2 linked regions of the Nothobranchius furzeri genome follow. The protein of the gene in region 2 interacts with the protein of the main gene of each other region in a pairwise test. Links are inferred from orthologs where the notes say so. Each region holds a gene or a part of one and is shown on either strand. Other genes may lie near its edges.

Evidence for each region.
Region 1: the proteins of prkra (region 2) and adarb1b interact in binary tests that used the Homo sapiens proteins (3 or more experiments, as listed by UniProt). The link is inferred for Nothobranchius furzeri from reciprocal best matches to the Homo sapiens genes PRKRA and ADARB1.

What each region holds. Positions count from the first base shown.
Region 1 is NC_091754.1:2,531,599-2,535,420, forward strand, and holds part of adarb1b (double-stranded RNA-specific editase 1), read right to left. Parts: intron 2,606-3,822; coding exon 2,491-2,605; intron 1-2,490. UniProt on the Homo sapiens protein: Catalyzes the hydrolytic deamination of adenosine to inosine in double-stranded RNA (dsRNA) referred to as A-to-I RNA editing.
Region 2 is NC_091754.1:21,792,879-21,796,800, reverse strand, and holds the start of prkra (interferon-inducible double-stranded RNA-dependent protein kinase activator A homolog), read left to right. Parts: upstream 1-1,223; 5' UTR 1,224-1,375; coding exon 1,376-1,413; intron 1,414-1,790; coding exon 1,791-1,966; intron 1,967-2,247; coding exon 2,248-2,329; intron 2,330-2,619; coding exon 2,620-2,698; intron 2,699-2,938; coding exon 2,939-3,057; intron 3,058-3,149; coding exon 3,150-3,243; intron 3,244-3,318; coding exon 3,319-3,481; intron 3,482-3,605; coding exon 3,606-3,763; 3' UTR 3,764-3,922. UniProt on the Homo sapiens protein: Activates EIF2AK2/PKR in the absence of double-stranded RNA (dsRNA), leading to phosphorylation of EIF2S1/EFI2-alpha and inhibition of translation and induction of apoptosis.

The sequences.
Region 1 (3,822 bases), about 19 Mb from region 2:
AAGTCGTACTCTGGGGAAAAAAACACCGGTGCGCGTGTTTCAGGAACAAGAAATGACCCACATCAGAGCTGAGCTTCAGGCAACAGGTGTCACGGTCTTATTTCCTGATATTTAGACATCTCTCCTCTGATTGGCTAACAGCAACACAACTCTACCACTAACTCTGTAATGTTGATGTTTTATCACCACAAATAACACAAGAATGGAGGAGTGTGGTGGAGTTGCTAATGCTAACGGTTAGCTTCTACTAGCCGAGACGTTCTCTGCTGTTTCCTGGTTGTTAAAGCAACAACAGCCTTCCCCGTCGTGAGTCAAGATGGGTGAGTCCATGAATGTTAGTGACAGTTTGACGTAGATGTGTCAGGATCTTCTAATCCTAGAGTTTTTATCAGAAGCCATGCAGGAGACAGGTGTAGGAGACTATTGTAAATGTTCAGCCTGCATGAAAACCTAAGAGCAGGGCTATTTAATTCCAAGCCAGCACATTTTAGTGGTTTCTCTGGTCCAACACACTTGATTCTGTGGTTGAATCACCTTTGCAGCAGCTCATCAGGCTCTTCAGAAGCTTGTTAATCACCTACTAACTGAAATCAGGCGTGTTGAAGCCGGGTTAAGACCAAAACATGCTGGATACCGGCCCTCCAGGCCCGGAATTGAATAGCTCTGCCTGAGCGTGCCTGATTATTTTCAGAAATAATCAATAAAAATGTTTTTTTAGTGTTCCACACCTTTAAATATATTTACTTTCCATTATTATCAACTGAATGTCATCATATTATCTCCTTTGCTTTTCTCTTGAAGAGGAAGTTAAAGGGTTAACACATGTCCAGTGAGAAAACCATCATATTTGTATTGTTTACAAAAGACTAAAGTTAAAAAAGCTGGACGAGAATTTAAACTAAACACACGTGAAGCCACGACAGCTCAGACCTTTTAAACGGTACAGCTAACATCGTCCCCCCCCGTTGCTGTAGATGGTGTTCACCAGCTCCTGGCAGACATATTCATCTCCTCTGCTGCCAAATGCATCGCTGTGCTTTACAGCAAATGGCTCAAGCGTTTACTTAACTGTTTGTGCAGCTGAACAAAAAAAGTACACAGAGTTTTAGAGCCCAAAAAAACCCCTCTGTTCTGATTTAGACAACGAGGATCGGTGTGGAGAGAAAATAACACAATGTTCCAGTTAACAACGTTCCTACGTTAACCATAAAGACCTGTTTAGATAGAAGGAGCAGCCCGTTTGTGCAGAAACACGATGCAGATTCATCAGAGACTACATGAATCTCAGGTATGCAAAAATTAATTCATATATTTAATAAATATATAAAAGCAATAATGAAGGAAAAGCATTCTTGTGCATCAAACGTGTTACAGATTCATTTTAACCTGGTCACCTTAAAACTGCTCTTATTATTTCAAATGACTGTTTTATTTTTATTTTAGTTAGTTGTGTTGGTTTCAATAAAAATGCTTATTTTTCTGTTTATGTGTTTTTGTCTATGAGGCCTGGGTAACAGGAGGATGTAGCATATTAGAGAAATAGGGTTTAAATGCAAAAGGGAATAAAATGAGATCTAACAGAAAGACTGCGAACAGAGAACTGTTTCCACCCCGACCGTTTAAGATGCGACACACTCTGATGCTGATCGCTTTAATGTGCATTCATTAAAAAGGAGGATTTGTTTACATGGTGATAATTTTCTACTTTATTTTGTAAACATACCCTAACAGAGAGCTGATGATCTATCAAATAATTAGGTAAATTACCAGACGTGGGAACATGCTAACAAGTTAGCATTGGGCTGCTAACTGTTAATGATTGCCTCTTTTCTTTGTATTTTAGGCTTATGCTTTAACAAACAACAAAACTATAGTTAGAAATAACAAATAATCATGACAAAATTGGGATTTCAGAATAAAACAACTCATCATATGACACTTTAGCCACAGCTAATCCTATTTGTGGGCATCCATGGCTCAATAGAAAATAAATAAATAAAAATAAAAAACTGTATAAATTTGTAAATATTGGGATAAAAAAAGATTCTAAAACACAACAAAGTCAAAATGTGAGCACTATAAATATTCCTATGGACAAAAAACACTTATTTTTAAAGGCTTTTGCTTCTAAATCCTTAAACAAAAAATTTGAACTTACCGTATTTTCCGGACTATAAGTCGCACTTTTTTTTTCATAGTCTGGCTGGTCCTGCTACTTATATACCAAAGTGACTTAAATACCAAATTATGTATACCGCGCTGCTGCGGGCCGGCTCCGCTCCAGGTTTCTACTTCTACTACTGCTAAACTTTATTTATATAGCGCCTTCACATGGCCAAGGACCAAACAAAGCACTGCACAACAGAAATGAACATAAAGAAATAAAAACACATAAAACCATAAAAAAACCGACTTATACTCCAGAAAATACGGTACTAAAATCCCTTTTTGTAAACACAAAACCATCAACCCCCCCACCCCCGAAGTTACCTGTCGTCATGACAACTCCTGCCAGGACTTTTCGCCGCGCATGGGGGGATGTGAAGTTGTCTGTCAGCTCACTGAACTTATCCACCACCAGGCGAGAGACGGCATCAGCCAGAACCTACACACACACACACACACACACACACACACACACACACACACACACACACACACACACACACACACACACACACACACACACACACACACAGCAGGAAGACATGCACATAGCCACACAAACAAAAGCTTGTCTCAGATATGTCAGCTGACAAAGCATGTCTGATGTTATCCTCCCCCCGAGCGCTATCTACCTGTCGAGCGAGCATCCCAACAGCAACAAGTGAAACGGGGATGACCCGCTGAGGTTTACCTAACAGGGATGCTAGAGTCTGACATGACAGTTCTGGGTAGCATCTCCCTTCTGACAGTAAATCACGGCAACAACAAACAGATAAACCCAAACACCAGATGTGAAATAAGTTCTCATTGGATCTTCACAAAGTTTAAATCTCCGGCTGAACGTTTAAGGGAAACAAACAAAAACCAGGCTTCTGCTGTTCTTGGACCACTAATGGGATTGAAAACGACAGAAACCAAGAGAGACTTCTACTGAATTATCCCAAATGAAATAAACTAGTCGCACATTGCCTCTCACTCAAAGTCAGACCACAAAATAGTAACCACCTGGGCAGTGTTTAAAGTGTCCACTTCACTACGTCCTGCACTGTTTTCCCTATCTCATGGCAGGAGTTTCAAATTACACACTTCAAACAAACACCTTCACATCCGAACATTCCCTGGTCAAACAGGAACGCTTTTACAAATTCTCAAGATCAAGCGTGACCTCAGAGAGAACAAACATGGCTGAGGAGGAGCATGTGATGCGCTTTATTCACAGCGCTTCCTGATTGGCTACACGCCACATTCAACAAGCAACTCGCTCATTTGTCCTCGATATCAGACCAAGACGATGAAATATGTTGAGTTTCTCCGATTTGTAGTGGTCCTTCAGAGAAGAATAGAGTAAAAATCGTCTATTTGCCGTGTGAAGTGGGCCTTTGCTTTTTGGTTCACGTAAAGGTTTGTTTTGAAACTCAGAAGTTTATTTATTGTATGACTAAATGATTTTGCTTGATTTGGAAGTTAAAGCTGCTAATGTGGATCTGCAATCAAGCTAGGTTTTGAACACAAACACGAAACACTCACTCCTCCCCTCAGGCGTCTTCCCTCAGCATGCTTATTCTCTCATAAGCACTTTGGCTGATGGAAACAGGCTGCAGATATTACATATTAAGCAACAGAAAGTTAATAGAGCAATTAGGAGGGAAGCTATCT
Region 2 (3,922 bases):
TCCCTGGGAGGCCGATTCCACACACTGTTTACATCTTTAAATATTGGTGCGTGTCTGTGTGACCGTTATTTGTATGTTTATTGATGAGCTCTTGTAAAAGCCCAGGAGTCTGCCTAGTTATTTCCAAAGAAGCTGAGTGTGCCAAATTTCAGCGCCTTGACACGACATTCTAATTCTGAACATGTTTTATGTTTCATTTGAGTTGGTGTTAGGTCTTAGTTTTTGCTGCAGAATGGAGTCTGCCTAGTTATTTCCAAAGAAGCTGAGTGTGCCAAATTTCAGCGCCTTGACACGACATTCTAATTCTGAACATGTTTTATGTTTCATTTGAGTTGGTGTTAGGTCTTAGTTTTTGCTGCAGAATGATTTTATTTAAATTGTCCCTGATGTGGCACTTTATATAGCCAAAGCAATAAGCATTTAGACTGAAAATGAATTTATTACCAACTTTGTTTTCTACTGCTATCTAGGTGTAATCATGACAAATTCAAGCCTCTAAACAATCTTAACTGTTCAACAGTACTATATATATATATTTTTTTTAATTTCTTAAAGAATATATTTCTTATCAAATACATTAGTGGAAATGTTCTGGGTGCTTATGTCCAACAGTTATTGGATGAGAGGCAGAGTCTGACCTGGACAGAGTCTCAAAGGGACAAACTTCTACTCACATACACACCTAGGGTCTAATAGAATTGACAATTACTCAAACATGCATGTTTTTGCACATTAGGAGAAAGCCTGAGTTGGTGTGTATGGAGAGAAAATGCAAACTATGCAAGGTTCCAGCTGGGATTTGAACCCAGGATCTTTTGATGCATGGCAACAGTATTTATGGCATTTCCGTGTTCTTTGTCAAAATAGTAAAATGTGGCTATTTAGATTATTGTAATGGGAATAGAAAAAAATGTCAAATGAACAAAGTTGATGAAAAATAAACTTTGATACAAAGTATGCTTTGTCTAAGAGTAACCTGGAAAAAAACTGGTTTCCTATTATAATTAGTTTTCAAAACTGAAATAAAATTTGTGTCAATTTAGTCTTACTTAATTTTTGCATCACATAAATACATTTTATTTATTGTTTTGCTAAAACGTTCCCCCCACTAGTGAGATACAATTTTAGGTTTTTGATTGCAGTCCATTATCTCAACCAGCAGGGGGTGCACTAAATCGCTGCAACCACTTCCGCTGACCCGGATGTGAACACGACTTTTATTTCCCTTTTTCTCCAGGAAGGATGCAGCATTTTCTTCGTTTAGAAACATGAATATGTTTAATGTGAAGAAAACCTGAAGCATTAGATTATATTTATCTTTATTTTTTAAGTTTCCACCAGATAAATTCCTGCTGACCTCCGTAAATAATCCAACATGTCTCAACAGGGGTATCAGTCACCGGACGACAAAAGGTTTGTAGCGTTATTATTTACAAGTTAAATTCAAATCATTTACAGAAACTAGTTAATGATTTTATCTTCTTGTGTGCGTAAAAACAACAGTACGGTTTAAATGGACGCTTCAAACCATTACATTGAAAACCAACGGTTATACATACATTTATTTCTCCTATTTAACAGATTATAGATTGTTTTTGTGATGAAACAACAAAATAATTTTATATTAGAAGTAATCATGAAATACTCGCAATTAGCTACAGTTCCTATTTTTCCTAAACAGTTTGGTAGACACCATATAAAATTCATAAAATATAATTTGTTCAACCAAAATAACCCCAGATTAACCTGTAACAAAGGTTGCATGTTATTGTTTCTTTGTTAAATATAAGTTTGGATTCACAAGAAGCAGAATGGGCCAGCCTGGGGAAGACCCCGATCCAAATCCTGCATGAGTATGGGACTGCCAGTGGGAACGCTCCTGTGTACGAGATGGAGAAAGCTGAAGGAAGTGGCCACCAGCCCAGCTTCTTCTTCAGCGTGAGAGTTGCAGACATTCGGTGTACAGGTAGGTACTACCTAGGTACTTCCTAACTCAGGAGGTAATTTATTGTTGAGGTTTCATGCTGAAAATCCAGTTAGAACTCACTGATCACGTTACAGGTTAGTCTTTTGCTGCTGTAAACTCTTAAATGCATCATCAGCGTGTCCCGTTGCACTTCCAGCGTAGACCTGTGCAAAGAAAATTAAAAATAATTGCAAAAATTTTAAGCTAGAAATTAAAATCTGTGATAAGATTCACTTAATTTTGCTTTTGAAACAAATTTGTTTCGTTATATTTTATTTCAGGTCAAGGTCCTACTAAAAAGGCTGCTAAACACCAGGCTGCAAGTGCTGCGCTGAAGCTGTTGAACCTCGATTCTAAAAAATTGTGAGTGAAGTCAAAACTATTTGCTTACCATTAGTTCATTTACCTGGTTTTTACAGCGAAAACCAAAGAATGTACAGCTTCTATCGGGGTCTCATATGTGAATATTTTAATGCTGCTTAGGCTGCAATAGGAATTTTATTTGTAGTTAAATAATTTGACAGCATTATCTGTAAAGTTATAGAACAAATATATTCAGCAACGTCAGTCGTCAGAAGTTTTGCGTTTTGTTGTATTTATTTGATTTCTTATAACTGTTGAAGCTCTAATGTGTTTGACGTGACGCCCAATAGGACCTCTCCTGGGAAGTCCGACACCAACGGGGATGCAGCGGATGCAAACTACAATCCCAGCTCTGTGTCCCTTCTGCAGGTGTGATCACGTTACATCTTTTATATGTCACGTTTGCTTTTGTGAAAATGTAAAATTATTGTTTTATGTAATTTCTGACGGTCTGTGTTACAGAAGAGAGTACTTATCTTGCTGCAGCTGTTTTACAGTCATGTTTGTATTATTTAACCTTTAAGCAACTGATCAAGGGTGTCATTTTAGTTAATTATATATCATTTTTCTCTTCATATTAATTGACCTAAAATTAAAAATTATTATTAGGAGTTAACGATCCAGAGAGGATGGCGTCGGCCTGAATATGCAGTTCTAGCTGAGTCTGGTCCACCACATCAGAGGGAGTTCACTGTCGCTTGTAGATTTGACTCTCTTACAGAAAAAGGAAAGATTAAACATTTTTTTCAGTCATTTAAATAGTTTGTTTGTTTTGGTTCTGTTGTTTTAATCCTGTTTTATTTATTTATTTATTTTTAGGTGTTGGAAGTTCTAAAAAAGCAGCAAAAAGGGAGGCTGCAGAGAAAATTGTGGCAAAGCTTCAAAGTTTGTCAGGCGGTCCGGAGATCACCTGGGTGAGTCAGGTCTTTCATTTCACCTCCTAAAACATCCACAAGATGTTTGAAATGTTCTTGTTGCTGGTTTTTCAGACTCCTAAACCGAGTGTCCTCCTCGAGAATGTGAAAAAGTCCTCCGCAGAAAAGATTTCCCTACTGAGGAGAAGCCCGCTGAACATTCCCAACGCGGATTACATTCAGATGTTGTTGGATCTGTCCCACGAGCAGGGCTTCGAGGTCACATACTATGATATTGGTAAGAATTTAGTGCTTTGGTTGATGTTTGGAGGCTTCTTTTATCCCGAAAGGCAGAAAAACAGACTCAGGGGAGACCCTATGTCTGCCTGTAGAAAATCCCTGACTGTGTTCATGTCTGACAGATGAGCTGACTGTAAACGGACAGTACCAGTGCCTGGCAGAACTATCCACCGACCCCGTCACCATGTGTCACGGCACCGGCATCTCCTGCAGCAACGCTCACAATGTGGCGGCACATAGCGCGCTCCAGTACATCAAGATCGTAGCCTCCAGCAAATAGACACATCCGCCTGACCACAGCAATCACAGATATCAGCTGACGGCTCGTCATAACAAGGTCCTCCTGCAATATGAGCTGAAGATCGGTGAAGTGTGTGTTTATTATGGTGTGTATGTGTGTGTGAAAACGGTTTCATTCTTATGCTTGCTGTAAAATCAT